Arabidopsis thaliana: one gene and its partner. The gene in region 2 interacts genetically with the main gene of each other region. Each region holds a gene or a part of one and is shown on either strand. Other genes may lie near its edges.

The links.
Region 1: of WRKY36 (region 2) and UVR8, changing one suppresses a phenotype caused by changing the other (phenotypic suppression), as found in Arabidopsis thaliana (one study listed by BioGRID).

The regions. Positions count from the first base shown.
Region 1 is NC_003076.8:25,553,457-25,563,227, forward strand, and holds UVR8 (Regulator of chromosome condensation (RCC1) family protein), read right to left. Parts: upstream 6,044-9,771; 5' UTR 5,960-6,043; intron 5,529-5,959; 5' UTR 5,132-5,528; coding exon 5,038-5,131; intron 4,851-5,037; coding exon 4,664-4,850; intron 4,473-4,663; coding exon 4,326-4,472; intron 4,114-4,325; coding exon 4,032-4,113; intron 3,641-4,031; coding exon 3,485-3,640; intron 3,078-3,484; coding exon 2,904-3,077; intron 2,699-2,903; coding exon 2,627-2,698; intron 2,387-2,626; coding exon 2,315-2,386; intron 2,182-2,314; coding exon 2,063-2,181; intron 1,880-2,062; coding exon 1,794-1,879; intron 1,703-1,793; coding exon 1,650-1,702; intron 1,446-1,649; coding exon 1,365-1,445; 3' UTR 960-1,364; downstream 1-959. Other genes in the region: PP7 (serine/threonine phosphatase 7), read right to left, coding at 7,880-7,975, 8,066-8,173, 8,249-8,395, 8,484-8,978, 9,057-9,452. UniProt on the Arabidopsis thaliana protein: UV-B specific signaling component that acts as a UV-B photoreceptor and plays a key role in establishing UV-protective responses in plants.
Region 2 is NC_003070.9:26,275,011-26,282,833, forward strand, and holds WRKY36 (WRKY DNA-binding protein 36), read right to left. Parts: upstream 4,246-7,823; 5' UTR 4,107-4,245; coding exon 4,041-4,106; intron 3,862-4,040; exon of another isoform or gene 3,515-3,861; coding exon 2,978-3,514; intron 2,877-2,977; coding exon 2,763-2,876; intron 2,675-2,762; coding exon 2,228-2,674; 3' UTR 1,938-2,227; downstream 1-1,937. Other genes in the region: AT1G69800 (Cystathionine beta-synthase (CBS) protein), read right to left, coding at 15-281, 361-803, 918-1,134, 1,268-1,315; AT1G69818 (Defensin-like (DEFL) family protein), read left to right, coding at 7,415-7,475, 7,737-7,823. UniProt on the Arabidopsis thaliana protein: Transcription factor. Interacts specifically with the W box (5'-(T)TGAC[CT]-3'), a frequently occurring elicitor-responsive cis-acting element.

The sequences.
Region 1 (9,771 bases), on a different chromosome or scaffold from region 2:
AAATGTGAATAATGTAAAAGTTCTTCGTTTCGTATAATTTTTATCTTGCGTAATTTATATACATAATGTGTTCTCAATCTATAATTGATGTGGTGTTTATTGAAAGTTTGTTAACCAGATATGGATTTAAAGACAATAAACATACTAATAGATTTATGTAGAAAATGAATTATAGATTAACATAGATTTATGAAAAAAGGTTTTTTAAGAAAAAACAACTTGAACATAAGGTATAGTCCATTGCCGGAGTAATGCCATGAGATAATCGTAATGTATGAATAAGTGTATGTGAATATAAGAAGATTGGCGAAATGATATATGGAGTAATATTTACCCGAAATTAAAAAAGCAAGAAAGTGGTGGGAATGAAAGACTCGTGGATGAAACATCAAGAATCATTAGAAAGTTTGAAAGATGGCGACTTGGAACTGAAAAAGGTAATAACATGGAATCGAATCTAAGTGACATCGATTTGGAATAATTTAAGGGAAAGAAACCCGACACATAAAGAGAAACACTAAAAGAGCAATATGGATGGTTTTGCTTTAAAGAGAATCACCCACATAAGTTTTACCCAATAGAAAATTTTCACTAAACGCCAAATATATTAGGCAGCATAACTAGGTTGGCGGATGATGAAGGATCAATTTTTTTTCTTTTTGACATATCCATCACTTAGTCCATTAGAAATTCTTCGTATTCTAGACTCTTCGTATTGAGACTAGAATATATAGAAATACGAAACATGCATTGTGTGTTGGGCCTAAAGGCTAACCTACCCAAAAGTTGTAAACTAAAATACCCATACTACTCTCGTTCTCATCTGCGCTTCACACTTTGATAAAAAAGGAGAAGTTCAACTTGTTAATCTGTGATCACTGTTCTTCTTAAGTTTTGATCTTGATTGATAAAATTGTTTTTTTTTCCAAAATTCAAATACTCTAAAACTCAGCGGGTCACTATCAATCATATCATATTTGAATTCAAACATAGGCGGTAAAAAAATAAGACAAAAAGAAAATTCTCTTAAAACATAAGTTGTATAATGGTTGAAGGAAAAAACAGAAAACTTTTTAAGAAATGAAAGATATAGAACCAGAAGGTATTATTATGGTGAGGAAAAAAAAAGTACATACCCTAGAGACTAGTAGTAGTAGTACACACAGTTTACAACGCCCATGTAATAAGAGAGCTAGGGGGAGGGAAGCATCACAAGTTACAAACTAACAACAACAACAAAAAGTACAATCCCAAACTAGACAGACGTACTCTTAGTACAAACCTCAACCCAAAAGAGATCACTGAAAAACCTTCGAATCCAACGGAAGAACCGGAAGTAAAAAAAAAACGGAATTGACTCAGGCTCAAATTCGTACACGCTTGACATCAGTTTGTGGAACACTGATATCACCTCCATTACCTTTGCTTGAACCATCCGTTAGGCCCTAACACACAACCAAATTCAAAATCACACACATAGATTTCATCCTTGAAAACAATCCACGATCTTGACAGAGCAAGGTATAATTGTGCAGCAATGATTAATCAGTAAAATCTGGTTCTAAGCCGATATAATTGTGCCATTTGCTTTCATTGTAGTTTACGTATTGGATATAAAGTTTAGTAGAATTAACAAAATTAAGGCTTACCGTTTCATCAGGAACAACTGCATATCTCTCTGCAGGCGACACCCAGCTTTTCCCTGGTAACAAAGCAATGCAAAAGTTGAATCATTTAATCACTTGTTGAGTCGTTTACAGAAATCGTTTTAACTAGTGGTATTGTTTAAATACCTGAAGATGGATCGATATTAGAAGATTCTATATGTTGTCCACTTGCTCCATCGACGCTGAGTGCCTCTATAATCTTGGGAAAGTTCCTATAAACACCAAACCAAATATCCATTTCACATTATCAAGATAGGTAGTGAGTGGGATTGAAAAGCAATGATTTTGGTGGAAACAACGATCTTACTGGCCAATTTTCATATTCTGTTCGTAACACCAAGATATGTTAAGTGGAAAACATTGATTCATGAGCGATTAGATGATCACACTTTTACCTGTCAACCGACTCTCCAATGCCGAGCTGTCCATTTGTACCTCTACCCCAAGCAAACACGTTATTTCTTTCAGTGACAGCCAAGGTATGTCTCCATCCACATGAGACTTGAACTACTTTCTGTGAAATTCCACAATATGTGTGCATTGGAAAAGAAAACAGCGAATTGAGACATGAACTTATTAATATGATTATATAGCCGGTAAAACATTGGGACGAGCTTTCTCGTTAAACTTTTTTAGGGATAACATGCCTGATCATCGGGAAATCGCACTTGCACAGGAGAACACTGATCTAAATTATTGCCGACTCCTACTTGTCCAAACTGCAGGCTAAAAGAGAGACAATTAGAAGTTTGTTTTATTCAAGATGAGTTACTAAAGTTACCCAATATATGCATTGTTGTTTTCTTAAAATAACATCTAAGTGAATGCATATCACTCCTTAACAGCATAAAGCAACTAAATGCAAATATCAGTGAATGTGTAGATGAAAATAGGTGTTCTATACATTTCTACGAAATATAGGCCAGAAAAAAAAAAAAAAAAAGCAAGACATTCTAGACCTTATTCCAACCCCATCCATATAGTTTTCCATCTGAAGTCAATGCCATTGTATGTCTCCAACCTCCCGAAATCTGGAAAAGAAACGAACAGTAAGTCCAAAAGATGTCGAACAGAAGAAGAAAACCAACAGAAGTACATACAATGAAGCCAGTCTTCTTCAGTAGGTAATAGTTGTCAGAAAGTTTTCGAAAAACATATTATTGCTATCCCATATGTTGGATATTTCAGATGTACAAATTTGTATTTCAAGACAGATTTATAAGGCCTAAGTGAAACCTGGGAGATAAAACTGTTGCTCAGTGCTTCCAGTTTGTGAGGAATAAGGTGATCCTCCAAGTCTCCATGTCCTAGCTGTCCATATTTGCTCCATCCATAAGTATACAATGCTCCAGAGTAGGAAACTGATATTGTGTGCCGCCATCCACAAGCAACCATTGACATTTTCTCACCCTAAAATTGTAGTTACAACCAGGAAAACGAGAGTCAAGTGAGTCGAAATGAAAAGAGAATTAAGGAAAAAATTGAGGGACTAAAATGCAGAAATAGAAGTTGGTAAAAAGGTGAGGTTGCGTGATATCAATGTTATATGAACTAAATTTCATTTCATGAACTGTGCAGATTCAGGATACCAAACTTTGATCATTCTAAAAGTTTTATGGTCACTTCCCTGACACCCACCAACTGAAATTAGACTGCATATACGTGTGACTCCATCAATATAGACAGCTAATCCAGAATAGTGCAGTGCATATTGAGCTATTCACGATTTCTTTCACGTATACTGAACTTCAAATGCAAGTTTAAACAAGTAGCAGGTGCTTAAACAAAAATTATAGAACAAGAGTCTTCTAGCTTACACCAGTAGAGGTAACTCTTTCAGGAACTAAGCGGTCAGTCCGGTCACCTAATCCCAAATTTCCGTATCTTCCCCAGCCCCATCCATAGAGGTCACCATCTTCTGTAACTGCAGCAGTGTGTTCTGCACCAGCAGCAACCATTTTGATTCGTATTCCCTGCACCCATTACAAGTTTAAAGTGTTGATGTAACAATGGAGATCAGCGAAACTAACAACATAAACTCAGGGTCTCTAATCACTTAATCTTCTAGTTTACCTAGTCCGATAAATTATCAATAAGATCCTACCTTCTATCTGTGTTTTGCAGATAGTATAACACATAGACATCCAATTTAGTATCTACCACTCCTAAAATTATGTAACTTAAATTATGATTCTGAAGACATCTTCACCAGATGTGGACCCTTAACTAGTAACAGTCATATGTTTAAGAAGATCAAGTTGCAGAAATAGACCCAACATTGACCCAATTCTGAAGCATAGTATTTGGCAAGTTGAGGAAACTACAACGAAAAAAGATGTTAGAAGAATATTTAGTGATACAAACCTCAAAGGCTTGAATCTTCTGAGGCACTAGAGAATCTTCGGTGTCCCCCAGACCAAGTTGACCATTCTGGTTGCGGCCCCAACTGTATAAACAGAAGTCAAAGAGATATGTTGGAAAACAAGACAAGACAGACAAAACGTTTAAAAGGCAATGTACACAATAACCAAGATATATAGAAATGACACAGGACGCAATCGACATTATCAAATTCCGATGAAATTCATCTAATTGAGCTGAGATGTAAACTGTAAATGATTGCACATAAGGAGAAGAACAATAACAAAGAGAAAATACCTCTGGACCTCTCCTTCCATAGTGACAGCCAAACAATGACTATCCCCACAAGCAATCTGCTTGATCCGAATACCGTGCAATGCTTTGATTGGTAGCGGAGTAAACAAGTCGCTTGAGTTACCATGGCCTAATCTCCCAAAATCACCCCTGCAAAGTACACATAAAGGTTAGAGAACACGAGGCTTAAAATATGTGCAAATGAGTGTATAATTAGTTACTGTTTTCTACACAAAAATCTAGAGAGGAACTAGTGGTCATCATCTCATCCCGAATATATCAAACAGACTGAAGAGCAATTGATTCAGCAGCAAAGAAGAAGATAATGATGAGAAACAAACCATCCCCAACTGTAGACTTCCATGCCTGATTGTGAATAAGCAACAGTGTGATCAGCACCACAGGTAACGGAAACAATTTGGTGGCCATCTAAAGCGCTAAGCTGAGTCGGAGAAGGTCGATCCTCTGCATCGCCATGACCTAACTGTCCATCCTCTCCTCGACCCCAAGAACAAACAATGTCACCAGCTACAAAATCAAAACATAAAACTACTCATTAGTAGACGACGAAAGTAAGGGAAACTCGATTAAAGGCCAGATCAAGAGAATTCGCGAAGAGCACAGCCTACTAAAGCAGCGGATTTCACAATTCCGGTGATTATTTGAGTCCGTAATAGAAAAGGAAAAAAAACAGCGAAGAAGAAGAGAGACGTACAGAGAAGAGCGACGGAGTGGCTAGCACCAGCGGAGATGATAAGAACCTTACGAGGAGGAGCCGTAACTTCGTCGGCAGCCATATCCTCCGCCATGGATCACAGTTGCAGTTTTCACAAGATATTTTTTTTGGGGAGAAATGAATTTTGAAAAAAGTAAGAAATTTCTATTTTTTGATAAATTGGGAAATTTTGTAGCTTCTCTTTCACTATCCGTAATCTCTCGAGGGTTGAACAAGGAAAGACAGAGAGAGAAAGCGGTAGATGGTAATAAAGGCGCGATGGAGATTTGCACATGTCATATATCTGCTTTTTGACTTTTTTACTTTTGCTGGTTTTTTTATTTTTTGTTTTAACCGTACAGTAAATCTCTTTTTTGTCGTACAGGCTTTAATTGCAAAAGGGTCCCTCTTCACTTAATAAATCCAAATACGGACCTCACCGGTAAAGTTTTATACTTTCATAATTTCACCATTTCTTTTTTTTTTTGTTTCTTGACCATTTCATTTACCTCTTCACATAAGTAGATTTAAGCCAGTACACATGACATTCTAGATCGTAACTTGTGTTTTATGTGTTCATCATTCACAGGTGTAAGGCGCATAGATCGTAAGAGCCTAATCATATGTTTTTAGTCATGCACACGTGTGAAAGTATACACGTTAGTCAAAAAAAATTCTGAGTTTCATAGTCCAAAGTGACATATCCAATTTGTCTTTTTAGTTATAAATATTCAGTTCAGCTATTTTAGTTTTTCAAAGAGGTCAAATTAAACCTGGATTACAATATGGTGTACAGTTTGTCTTTTTATTATGATTCTGATTATCATATGAAGATACGTCTTGCTACATGTTATTTTATTCAATTATTCAAAATGCATGGTTCTACATATGGAAATATACAGATATACGGTCTACTTACAACTTGATTTTTTTTTTTTTTGTTAAATTACAACTTGAAGATTCTACTATCAACAAAACAAAAACAAAAAAAAATCTTCTATCGATCGAGCGAGATATTCAAATCAAAATACATGGTCAACAGGTCAACTATAGATTCAAAATATATGAATACCTAAATATTCAAATTAAGATATATCAATTCACGATCTAAAACATCCAAATATAGATTTTGCGAAAACGGCCAAAGAAATTATACATAACGGATAAAAATAAATAAAAAATTACATACGGATACTACTTAGTAGTACTTACTAGATTACCTAAAACCCATAATCTTACATATACATATGGATAAAGGTAACATCGATGAATTACTTGTTTCATCCGATCTGGAACGAATATATCACCTCGCTCGACCTAACATTTATGTGAAACTAAAAGGTTGTTTACATTGAGATAAAACCAACATTATATGCTTGTCAGTGAGGGAAGTTGTGACATCTATTATAGTAAGAAAATTAAATGAATGAAGATATTTTTGCATTGCCTGATACATGCATTATATGTATTGTCCAATTTTGGCATTAAAGTCAACGAGACAAAACTCTAGATCAAGATGGTCTCTAATGTTGACATTTGTTGCGACCTCTTTCAAATGGGTTCATCTCATCATTCATCACACAAATTTGTTGCATTATCTTTTATAATCTTGTTAAATAAACATCATTACGAACAATTTGTGGAAAAATGGAAATTATATGAAAGCCATTGGAAGTACTATATACAATTTAATGCACATGACTTCAACAGAAAATACTAGAGAGACAAGATAAGACACCTATAATAATTTAAGCTTGACATGAAGTGCTAAACAATTACTGTTTAGAGACATATATGCACATGAAACTAGGAAAGAAAAAACATTGCGGTGAGTACATGTCAATGATTGTCGATGAACAAATTACAAAACAGTAAAAATCAACACCCACCCACATGGGTTCCGGTATAAGGGTCAAGTTTGGCGATAACACAAATTTTAGGGTTTGCAAAAATGTTGTAACCATAATCGGTGATGAAATATGGAAGATCATGTGAATATTTAGATGATGAAACTATTTGGCTGAAAAGACAGTTAACTTTAAGCTTTATTACTTGAGATGCCCCGTGACAGACAACGAATGACCTTGGAGAGAATCACACAGATGATGCTAGAGGTAGCTTTAATGTGTTATATTTGCGAATGAAGATGCTTCACGCTCCTGTCGAATTCTTCTCTCTTTAGAGAAAGAACAGACCATTATTAGTTTAGCCCACTCAAGAGAAAAAACCGAAAACAATTGCAATAAATGCTTCAAAGTGCAATAAGGAACCATAAGATAGTTAGCATCAACCTCCACTTCATACTGTCTTTTACAAGAAGACATACATTCATCTGAACAAATTGCTACCAAATTCGGCATTTAATAAGCTGTCTCGTTACTTAGGATTTTCATAACCACACAATTTTTTGTTGGATAAGATTCTAGTAATGTGTCAATATTTCAAAGGAAAACTATAATGCCGACAGACACATAACTTGATCCACAAACTTCCATTGGACTAATCTACTACTCGATTTATCATTCAGTTAAAAGCAATTCTATACAATGAAAGTTACTGCAAGTTTGACCTCTCAAGATTTAGGCTAACCTGACAAAACAGAGCAAAATCTTACAAGATTTAGGTTTAAATAAGACGTGTAGGAACCAAGAAACTAAGAACTACATGAGATTTAAGATGGTTCTTATTTCTTCATCTTCCATACATAACTTAAATGTGAATTCTACAAATGATTTTCTTCATCTCTTTTCTTTACATTTGATTCCATTTTATGTTTGCAAATAATGAGCAATCACAACAACTGTAAAAAACATCAATTCAAGATACTCCTTTTCAGCTTCGGTCAGCTATTTGGTTGTTCGTTATTGGTGTCCATTGCTGACTTATCCATCTCATCATCAGAATCAATGACATTTTCAAAGTCATAATATGGATGCGCCTGCACATTTAAAAACCGATGTCGCTATGTATGTGTATCAAAGAAGTAAAACAACTCGTTGGTTCATTATCAGCATCGTAAGTTAGTTACCTTTGGTCGCGGTTTAACAGCTTCGAAACTATGAAATTGAGGATCCGAGAAATCAGGCGCCTGCAAAATAATATATGCTCCTTTGTTTTTGTACCTCTCTTCTGTTGCCTACACCACACACAAAAATGATTGTTAACGCATATCTTTAGAAAATGCAAATACCAAAGGCGTAAAAATACATACTTGGAATTGCGGATAGTCAGGTGCACTGAAAATAGTGATAAGCTTTCCGGATTCGACATTGTGGTCTATTGTATATCCATTGTCCATTCCACCAAGACCAGTTCTCTTCTCTCTAGCATCTGGACCTTCATGTGATCTGATGATCAACTGCACCAATAAGTGTAAAACATTTGATCCAATCATCCATATCAGTATTTGGGAAGCAAACAAGCATCAATATCTACTTTGGTGTCACCTTCAGTTCATATTTCTTCAAAAAATCCTCTGTACAATCGGGACCCCAAAGAAGACCAATGCCTCTCTGTTCATTTGGTGAAAGGCCCGGAGTCATTGAAGGATCAGACCATAAAACGTCTCCTGGTATCAAGTTTGAACCTTCCCAAGGAGGATCAAGAACTGATCTTCGAGCTTGCATCAACTCATCTAAGGTACCGAGTTTCATTGAGCTCGGCTCAGGTTCCAGAAGAACTACCCGACGGTTCTTTTTCCCCCTTGTTGTTCGCTTAGGCAAGACTGGGCTGCGGAAAAGCCCTCCATGTGCTGTATAAACACGTCCAGAAATTATGGAAGCCAAAGGAAGACCTTCAAAGCAACCCAAACATTTCCGGTACACATGTTTTCCCTTGTCTCCGTATTTTGTAAGCACTTCCTTCTCGAAACCATACATAGATGTACAATACTTTGACTCATGATTACCACGGAGTAGGTAGACTCTGTCCGGCATCAAAACCTAAACAACCAAAAAGATATGTGCTTTAAGAATACTAAGACTTGAGCCAATAGTAAAACAGCTTAGTAAAGAGTTTACCTTCCAGGACAAGAGAACAAGGAAGGTTTCAAGTCCCCAAGCACCGCGATCCACATAGTCTCCGTTGAAAACATAACACCGGTTTTGACAAGGAAAGCCAGTATCTTTCAATAGGAAAAGAAGGTCATGAAGCTGACCATGAATGTCACCAACCACAACAACGTTGGATACAGAGTCAAGATCATCGATATGAACGCAGTTACGTTCTTTGTGGAGGATTTTATGAGCGGTGAGGACGAGGGAATCAAAGACGTTGACAGGCAATAGTGAAGGTAACTGGGAAGGAGGTAGATTCCATGAAGACCATTCGAAACACGACATAAGCCCATGTACCCAGTCGTTAGTGAGAGCTCCCCCATCTGGCCATGTAATGGGAGATGGTGGAACAGTTTCCATTAAAACTGTAAAAACACTAATCTATAATCAATTCCAGAGTATGAACATGTGAAACAAGAGTATCAAGCAATCGAAACATAGACAAAGTTTTCAAATTTCAGCGATCAAAGCCACCAGAACATAAAATCGAATCTGTATATATTCATTCGTACATCTTTAAACTCAAGAGAAGAGCAAAAAGTACAAAATCGAATCATGGGAAATCGAAATCCATATCACAAAGAATAATTCGGAACAGAGTGAGACTCACCGGCTAAGAGTGGAGACAATTTACAAAATTCCAAAGCTTGGATCTTGGACCTAGCTAAGCTAGCTTACT
Region 2 (7,823 bases):
GTTTATTTTATTACCTCATTGGGTGACATAAACGGGAGGCCGAGATCAGAAATCGGGAGAGCGGAAATGTGATCAAACCAATCTCTACCTTTGCAACCTTCAAGACCATGAACAACTGCAGATTGAGTAACGTAGTTCTTGATATCCGGTTCTCCTGTTTTAATAACCGGCACATTTCTTAACCGATATTTCGAGAGTAACAACATAACACTCAACATCGAACTCTCTGTTGAAACCGGAAGAAAAGGAGCCCATCTAAACGACTTAAGTATTGTTCTAACCTGACAACATAAACATATATCCATGATCAATCAGGACCATCACAACACAAATAACTTAATGTTCTGTTAAAAAACTTACAGTGGTTGATTTAAAAGGCTCTTCTTGAAGAATAACTTCATAGAAATCTTTCCCCAACTTATCAGCAGCAGTTGGAGCATCTTTTCCAATCCCACGTTCAGCTGCAACACCACCAGCAACCGCGGCTCCAACCGCAGCTGCGGCTAGCCCCGCAGCAGCAACCGGACCGGTCATCCCGAGCGCTGCAACACCAAGAGCTCCAACAGCTCCAGCACCAACACCAGCAGCAGTTGCTGACGTAGCGGACAACGCGATTGCAGCGAGTTCAGCACTCTCTAGCACCCATAAGATGATTGAAGAGTAGTCAATGATTCCTAAATATCTTTCTCTCCAATCTAAAGAACTCTCGTGATCTGTGTTAATCACAGGAGCTGATAGAATCTTGCTATCTGATAAGATCTTTACTGCTTCTGATACAGGTGTTTCCGCTTGAATCTCTATCACTACGATCAAACAAAACACTAATTGAATCTAAACCATTGCCAAGTCTCAAACTTTAAACGAGAAATCAGGAAATTTGGAGGAATCGAAAAAAATGGGATCTTTCTAATTTTTACCTCTGCCGCCGGGGACTTGAGGGAAGGAGGAGACTGGGATTCCGGCGAAAGCAGAGTTTAGGGTTTCTTGAAGAGATTTGGGTAGATTCTTCCTTGATTGTACTTTCTCGAAATACGCTTCACAGCTTGAAACCGCCGATTTTATCTCCTTATCTTCTACCGCTTCACTTCCCGCCATGTCTTGATACCGGCTCAATTTGAAGAATTTCAAACAAATCTACGATGATTTTAGATTGGAAACGATGAAACCCAGAAGAAAAAAAGAGAGCTTTTTTGGTTAAGGAAAAAAAAAAGAGAGAATTTAGAACAGTGGTGAGTGTGGTCGGATAAGCAACGTGTCGGAGATGGACCTTTGGTTTCGCTTTTCTGGCGGTTACGCGCGTCCTGATGAAGTGCATTGACACGTGACGTTATAATAAGTGGTCGTGTGTCAAAAGAGTTTAACAGCGTTATAACCGGAGTCGCTGACGTGGATGGGCCGAATTCTAAGATAGAAAACGGTAGTAACGGGCCTGAGCCCAAGATTGATTTAAAAGTAATATCTGATGGATCATAGTTTCATACGTTTTCTTTCTTTTGGTCATTTTGTTTTCTTTCCTTTTTAAGAATCGACCATCTAAACATTTAGGTGGCTCAAACAATTCAGACATCTTCATTTCGGTCAAATTCATCACAAATTTATATTTGATAATTGAGGGAAGTAAAATAATCAATTCTTTTATGTAAATAATTTTAATGGTGACTACAATTTTGACCATCAAATTAGTAAATGTCTGTAGCAAAAAATAATAATAATCAAATTAGTAAACAATACGTATGTGATTTCAAATAATAATACGTTGTGTTGATAATTTGTCAAATAACCCACTATTTTATGTGATGCTAACTAAAGTTTATTTTGTAAAAATCAAACAATTTTGCAAAAGTGAAAGAGGGAGATTTTGTCAATCTGCATGAAAACCACCTTCCATTTTAGATATCATTGTGTCATCATAGTCATACTTACTTAATTCACCAACAAAAAAAATTAACATTGTATTTAAAATTTTTATAAGCATAAAAAAATATTTGGTGTATCAAATTTGTGTAGACCATTAATTTACAAAACCTTCATATACATATATAATCCATGATATGATAGGTAATCCACTAATTTAAACATTTGGATATCTACAAGTATATAAGCATTTTGCATATCATGCCAAAACCAGATCTCTCTTTCAGAGGCTGAAAAACAAATGAATGACAAAGAAAACGGAAATCAGTTACTTTCTAGACTTGTGTCTAGCTATACCGATACAGTTACTGGCTTATTGCTGTCCGGAAAGTCTCGTTCGATAACGGGCCAATAATGAATCTGTACTCAACGGAGCTTGTGTTCGCAAGCCACTAAAGTTCAAGGTGTGGTCATGCGATGATGGAGGTGGAGGATCTGGAGAGGAAAAGTTGAGACTGAAAGAGGAGGACGATAGAGGGTAGTCGTCTGGTAACTGATTGGGATAGTTTGGTCGTGTGAGGTCCAATGTTACAGTCGGGTGCGAGTTAGTGGTGGAGATAGAGAAGTGGTGAAAAGGGAAGAAATAGCTTAGACTCGCTGAGGTGGAGGAGGAGGAAGAGGAGGAGCCAGATTGTAATAAGGAGGCAGCCGCGGAAGTTCCAGCTGCCATGTGGCTTGCTTCCATGGGGAGAGGATGGTCATGGTTTCCTTCGTACGTTGTCATAAAAGCGGAGGTTTCTTCTTCTCCACATCTTTGCACCTATAGACATTCGTTTTAAAAGTTTTTACTCAAAACCAATTGTTAATAAACAGATATTTGGATTGAGAAATTATAGAATGTATTATACCTGTTTTCTAACGGGACAATTTGACGACATGGAGCAACGGTAATAGGCTCGTGGGAGAGGATTGGTTTTCGCAGTCTTTTGACCATATTTCCTCCACTGGCAACCGTCGTTTATCTATATATATTCATGTAACGTGTATATGATCAAATAATTAAATTAGATGTGAAATGGTAAATAAACACATATATGTAATGTATGGTTTTGATGGTACGTACTGATGGGTCTTCACATGATGCTTTAACACAAACCCTAGTTTTCTTCAAACCTGTTTGTTCATGCTCCTCCAAAACATCTTGATGGTTTTCATTTCTAACTGATTTGACATCTTTCCTCGAAGATACACATTTATTTTCAGCGTTTGCAAGCTTAACCTGCCTACAAAGATCATCTAGTTTCGAGGCTTCATAGCTTTGAATCTGAAATCCAAAACCCAGTGCAGATCTTTTATCTTTTGACTCCTCTACGTTCTTAGTAGAAATCTTGTCCACCTTATTTTCCTCCTTTTTAGAGATCTTTTGCTCTGATCTTCCAAGCCTAAGTGATATATCCACATCATAGTCGTTATTTTCATCTTGACGATCAATGTGGTCTAGCTCCATAGACGAAGCTCCTTGTTGTTGTCCGAGAACTTTAGAGACTTGCATTTGAAGAGAGTTGTAATTATTAAGAATCGTAGAGAGTAAGAGCTTTAATTTCTCATTTTCTTCCCGAACTTTCTCCACCTTTGCTTTTGTTGCATCAAGCTCCTCTTCCTGTAATATCCAAGACACATTTATATTCACTTTTTATCTAAAAACTGTTTGGACCTATCTTCTAAACTTCTACGATAAATAGTTCTCAATACACACAAAGTAAATAGTATTATAAAAGTGAACATGATCGAATGCCAATAAAGAAAAAAAGAAAAAAAATGGATCGATCCGACCTATATTAATTAGAGCGGATCTTAATTATAAATGTTTTCATCCGAAGTTTTCTAAATACCGGAAAATCTTGGTATCCTTGAGCATTAAATAACCGTCCCAAAAAAAATAATGAACTTTCGATACTCGAGACCATTTCCGAACAAGCAAGTTGACTTTTATCAGATGCAGTAAAACTGTATTAATTTCAGACATAAGAATTATATGGTAACTATATGTAAATATATAACAGAATCATATGATCATGAGATTAATTCTAACCGATTGAAACACCAGAAGGAGATTGAAAATAAAACAAGAATTAGAGAAATTTGTGGTTTAAACGGTTAAATCGAGAAATAGTGTTTTGTTTTACCTTGTCAGATTCTGCCATAACACCATCGAAAGTTTGGAAGTATGAAACGGTCTCCTCTTTGATCATGCTATTATATGATTCAGATGCGATCTTGAGATCAACTGGATCTGCTCTTTTTGTTTTTCTTCTTTACATCAAAAAAAAAATTATTGTCGTTTTCTTTTGCCTAACTAGGTTTTTATAGGAAGGGACCCAAAGCCAACAGACTTTGACTTCGCATTTTAATAAGAAGATATACAGACTAAAAATATTGTTTATAATGGTAATCACCACCACCATGTTACCAGCTTCGTCTCTATTCTTGAATAATCTCAACCAGACGACTCAGCATTATATAATAAGATAATGCCAATCATATAAATAATATCAAATTGTATTGCAATCCAGATGGATCTGGTCTGAACACTACTTCGGAATATTTCGTTTTTTTTTTGTTAATTGGCATCATAATTAAAGCATAGTAGTTGACATTGAGGCAACTAAAACAAGTTTTTTCTTTCTTTCTTTCGTCTGTACCGGAGTACCGGAGTACCAGATCATACTAGTTCTTCGCTAACATAAAGCTGTATGCATGGGAAACAAAAGCTGAGAGAGAAAAAAAACAATATTTTCTCTCTTTTTTCTTAGACCTAATATATGTCAAAAATTAATCCACAATCATTCTTTATAGGCAGTTCAGGGGTGAATGTATTTTTTGTGATATATTTGTATGTTTACTAGCTAGTTTTTAGATAAATTTTCTTTAACATTTAACGATATCTATTAAATATAAGAAATTTATATGTATCTTTAATCCTATAAAAATACACATATACTGTATACGCATAAATTTATGATCGGAACAAATATTCTAATTTTTTTTATTTATGTGCTATATTTTGATCTTTTTCAAATTGAATAAAGCAATCTATTTATCCAGCGTTAATCACTAACGGACACCGCATGAAATGAGTGCATTTTGTAAAAGAAACTTTCAGCTGTAAAACGCATTTTGTTCTCTGATCCAATGAAAAAATGACACATCATCGATCTGCAGCTACTTAATTACGTTGACCAGTTGGCAGAGTTGATTAAGTTTATGTTAGTCTTAAATTGCTAATTAATAGACACTGCATGAATTTTATAATGTTATAAAATTATAAGAATTTCATAATGAAAAGTTTATGAAATGTTAATTTATGACTAATGCAAGAACTTTCTATTTGGAAACGTAAGTTAAGGGGTTTATTAAAGAATAGTACAATATTAGAAAGGCTGCTTTATTGAATGATAATACAAACAACGAATGGTCATTTTATATTAGTTGAATACTTTATCGAATAACTTTTCTTTTTGGTGAAGATCAAACAGAGCTTTTTTCATCTTCACACGCATCAATGAGATCATAAGAAACCGAGCAGTACTTTTTTCAATCATAGAATACAATTATAACAAGCTATATCATGCAACTCAAAGTTTCTCCAGACTGGTCTCTTGTTCGACTCCTAAAATTCATCTTCCACAATCCGAGTGGGTTTACACCGTCGGCTTCAAGATTTTAACTAGGATGGACTTCCTTAGAAACTACATTTGCTTCTTTTAGTGTGTTAACCAGAAAAAAAAAAGATTTTCAACTAAAACTGAGACAATTAGGATTCCGAATACAATTTACATTGTTTGGGGATATTTCTTATAGCTCCACACAAACTTTTATTTTGAACTTATACTCCATCATCGTTAGACGATTTCGTCAAATCTCGTCTTAAACCTGAATCATTTGTCTATGGAAGTAATTTTATTTATTGTTTTAATATATTCGTAACGAGCAGCTAAATCACTAATACAGACATATATAAGGATTTTATAATTAAAGATTCTTCTGAAATTATCCTATTTCAAATAAAGTATACTTTTTAGATTAAACATTTAAATTTATATCCGAAATGTCATTGTAAATTAATAATATTCGATTTCGTGGCCTTGAAGTCGACCAATAATAAGGAGAGAAAGGAGCGCAGGATCCGGTTTTATTTCTACCATATATACGATGTCATTCCAATCTAGTGGTATTATAATAATCTAGATAGTTGAAATATTTATAATTTTAAAAATGCAAAAAATAATTTTTTATTACACAATAATGATATTATAGTCAATGATCTCTTACATCGTGCTCCAGAATCCATCGCATAATTTAAACTGTATCGTAATGGCTAAGTCAAATTTTGGTTATTTAATGTTGCATATTACTTTTATTTTTATTTTTGTGACATTGTTGCATATTACTATCATCTCGCAAGTCACACTTTACCAAAAAATTTAATCTCACAAGTCACAAGTGTTCTTTCAAAAACGGATCCGATCGGCTTATAATATTGGTCGAAACACGAACGGACCAACCCGGACGGGTTGAATCTTAAATTATCAAAAATGATGCGGAAAAGCACAATTTTTTTTTATTTCAAGGCTCTTTAGTTCTCATTTGTCGTCACAAGAATTCAAAGAAAAAAATTACATCTTGTTTAAAAGGTGTTTTATTGAATGTGTGTACATCCGAAAGTCGCTCATTGGCAAGGTTGGTGCAGCTTGATGAATGATTCGGACTTTGACCAAGAAAGAGTTGGCTCCATGTATCTCGATTGTTGTTAAGTGTTGATGGGCCGTATGTTTTTGTTAATGAACTGTCGCATTATGTTGTTATCTTTTACTTGATGGGCTTTATACTTTTGAATGAACATATTCATATGGTCTGAACACAAATAATTACTTTTCTACCCTAGATATAGTTACTGATTTATTCATCTTTTTTCATTTTGATAACATCACGGCAGTTTTTTCCTCAGATTCTCTATTTTTATTTTTGGGAAATTTATGTTAGAGTGTAGAGATATTACTTTTTCATGTTTGGGATATTTAAAAGGGAGAAATTTTTTTTACTGTAAGTTAAGATATTTTTTTTTTCTGTGTGGCCTAATCAAATGACAACATGGAAATGCTTCACATTCAAAGATTCAATGTATGCCCTTCTTTAGGAAAATACAAATTTCAGGACTCCCATTAACCAAAGGTTTGTGCACACTTCAAATAGTCAAACATGACAAGACAGTCATGCAAAAATTATGGTAATACTTGGCCAAAAATGTTACTTTTAGATATATTTTTCCATTTTTTTGTTTAACAATCAAAGCAAATCAGATATTTCTATTTGCTGTAAAAATATCCCTATTTCTCTAAGGAAAATATCTATAAAGATTTGAAAATGTATCAACAATGTATAACCCAAGAAACTCTTCTAAACATATATATTTGGGGGCTGACAAACTCTCCTTGTTTAAATTCATATATATTTTCTAAGGAAAAAACTTCATCAAAAAAAAAGAAAAGAAAGAAGATAAATGGCGTCTAACAAAGTCTCATTCTTCTTGGTTCTTTGCCTTTGTGTTCTCTCAACAGCAGGTAATTTATATCTTTGACATACATTTTCCTTTTGATAACTTTTCAATTTTATTTATAACTAATTTCTGTTAATTAAGATTTAGTTTATTAATCTTTATCTTGAATTAATCATAATATACATTTAACTTCTTTTTTTGTTTGGACAAGATATACATTTTACTTCTAAAGTTGTTTTATTTGCCTGATTCATACAAAATATTTTTGTTATCATTTTATTTAGCAAATAAAACCATTAATTTTTATTTTTTCATAAATTGATAGAGTTTGGAGAAGCACAAATTCTAACAGGAATAAAATGCCCAGATCCAAACGGCCACGACAAAGAAGATAAATGTAATATTTACTGCC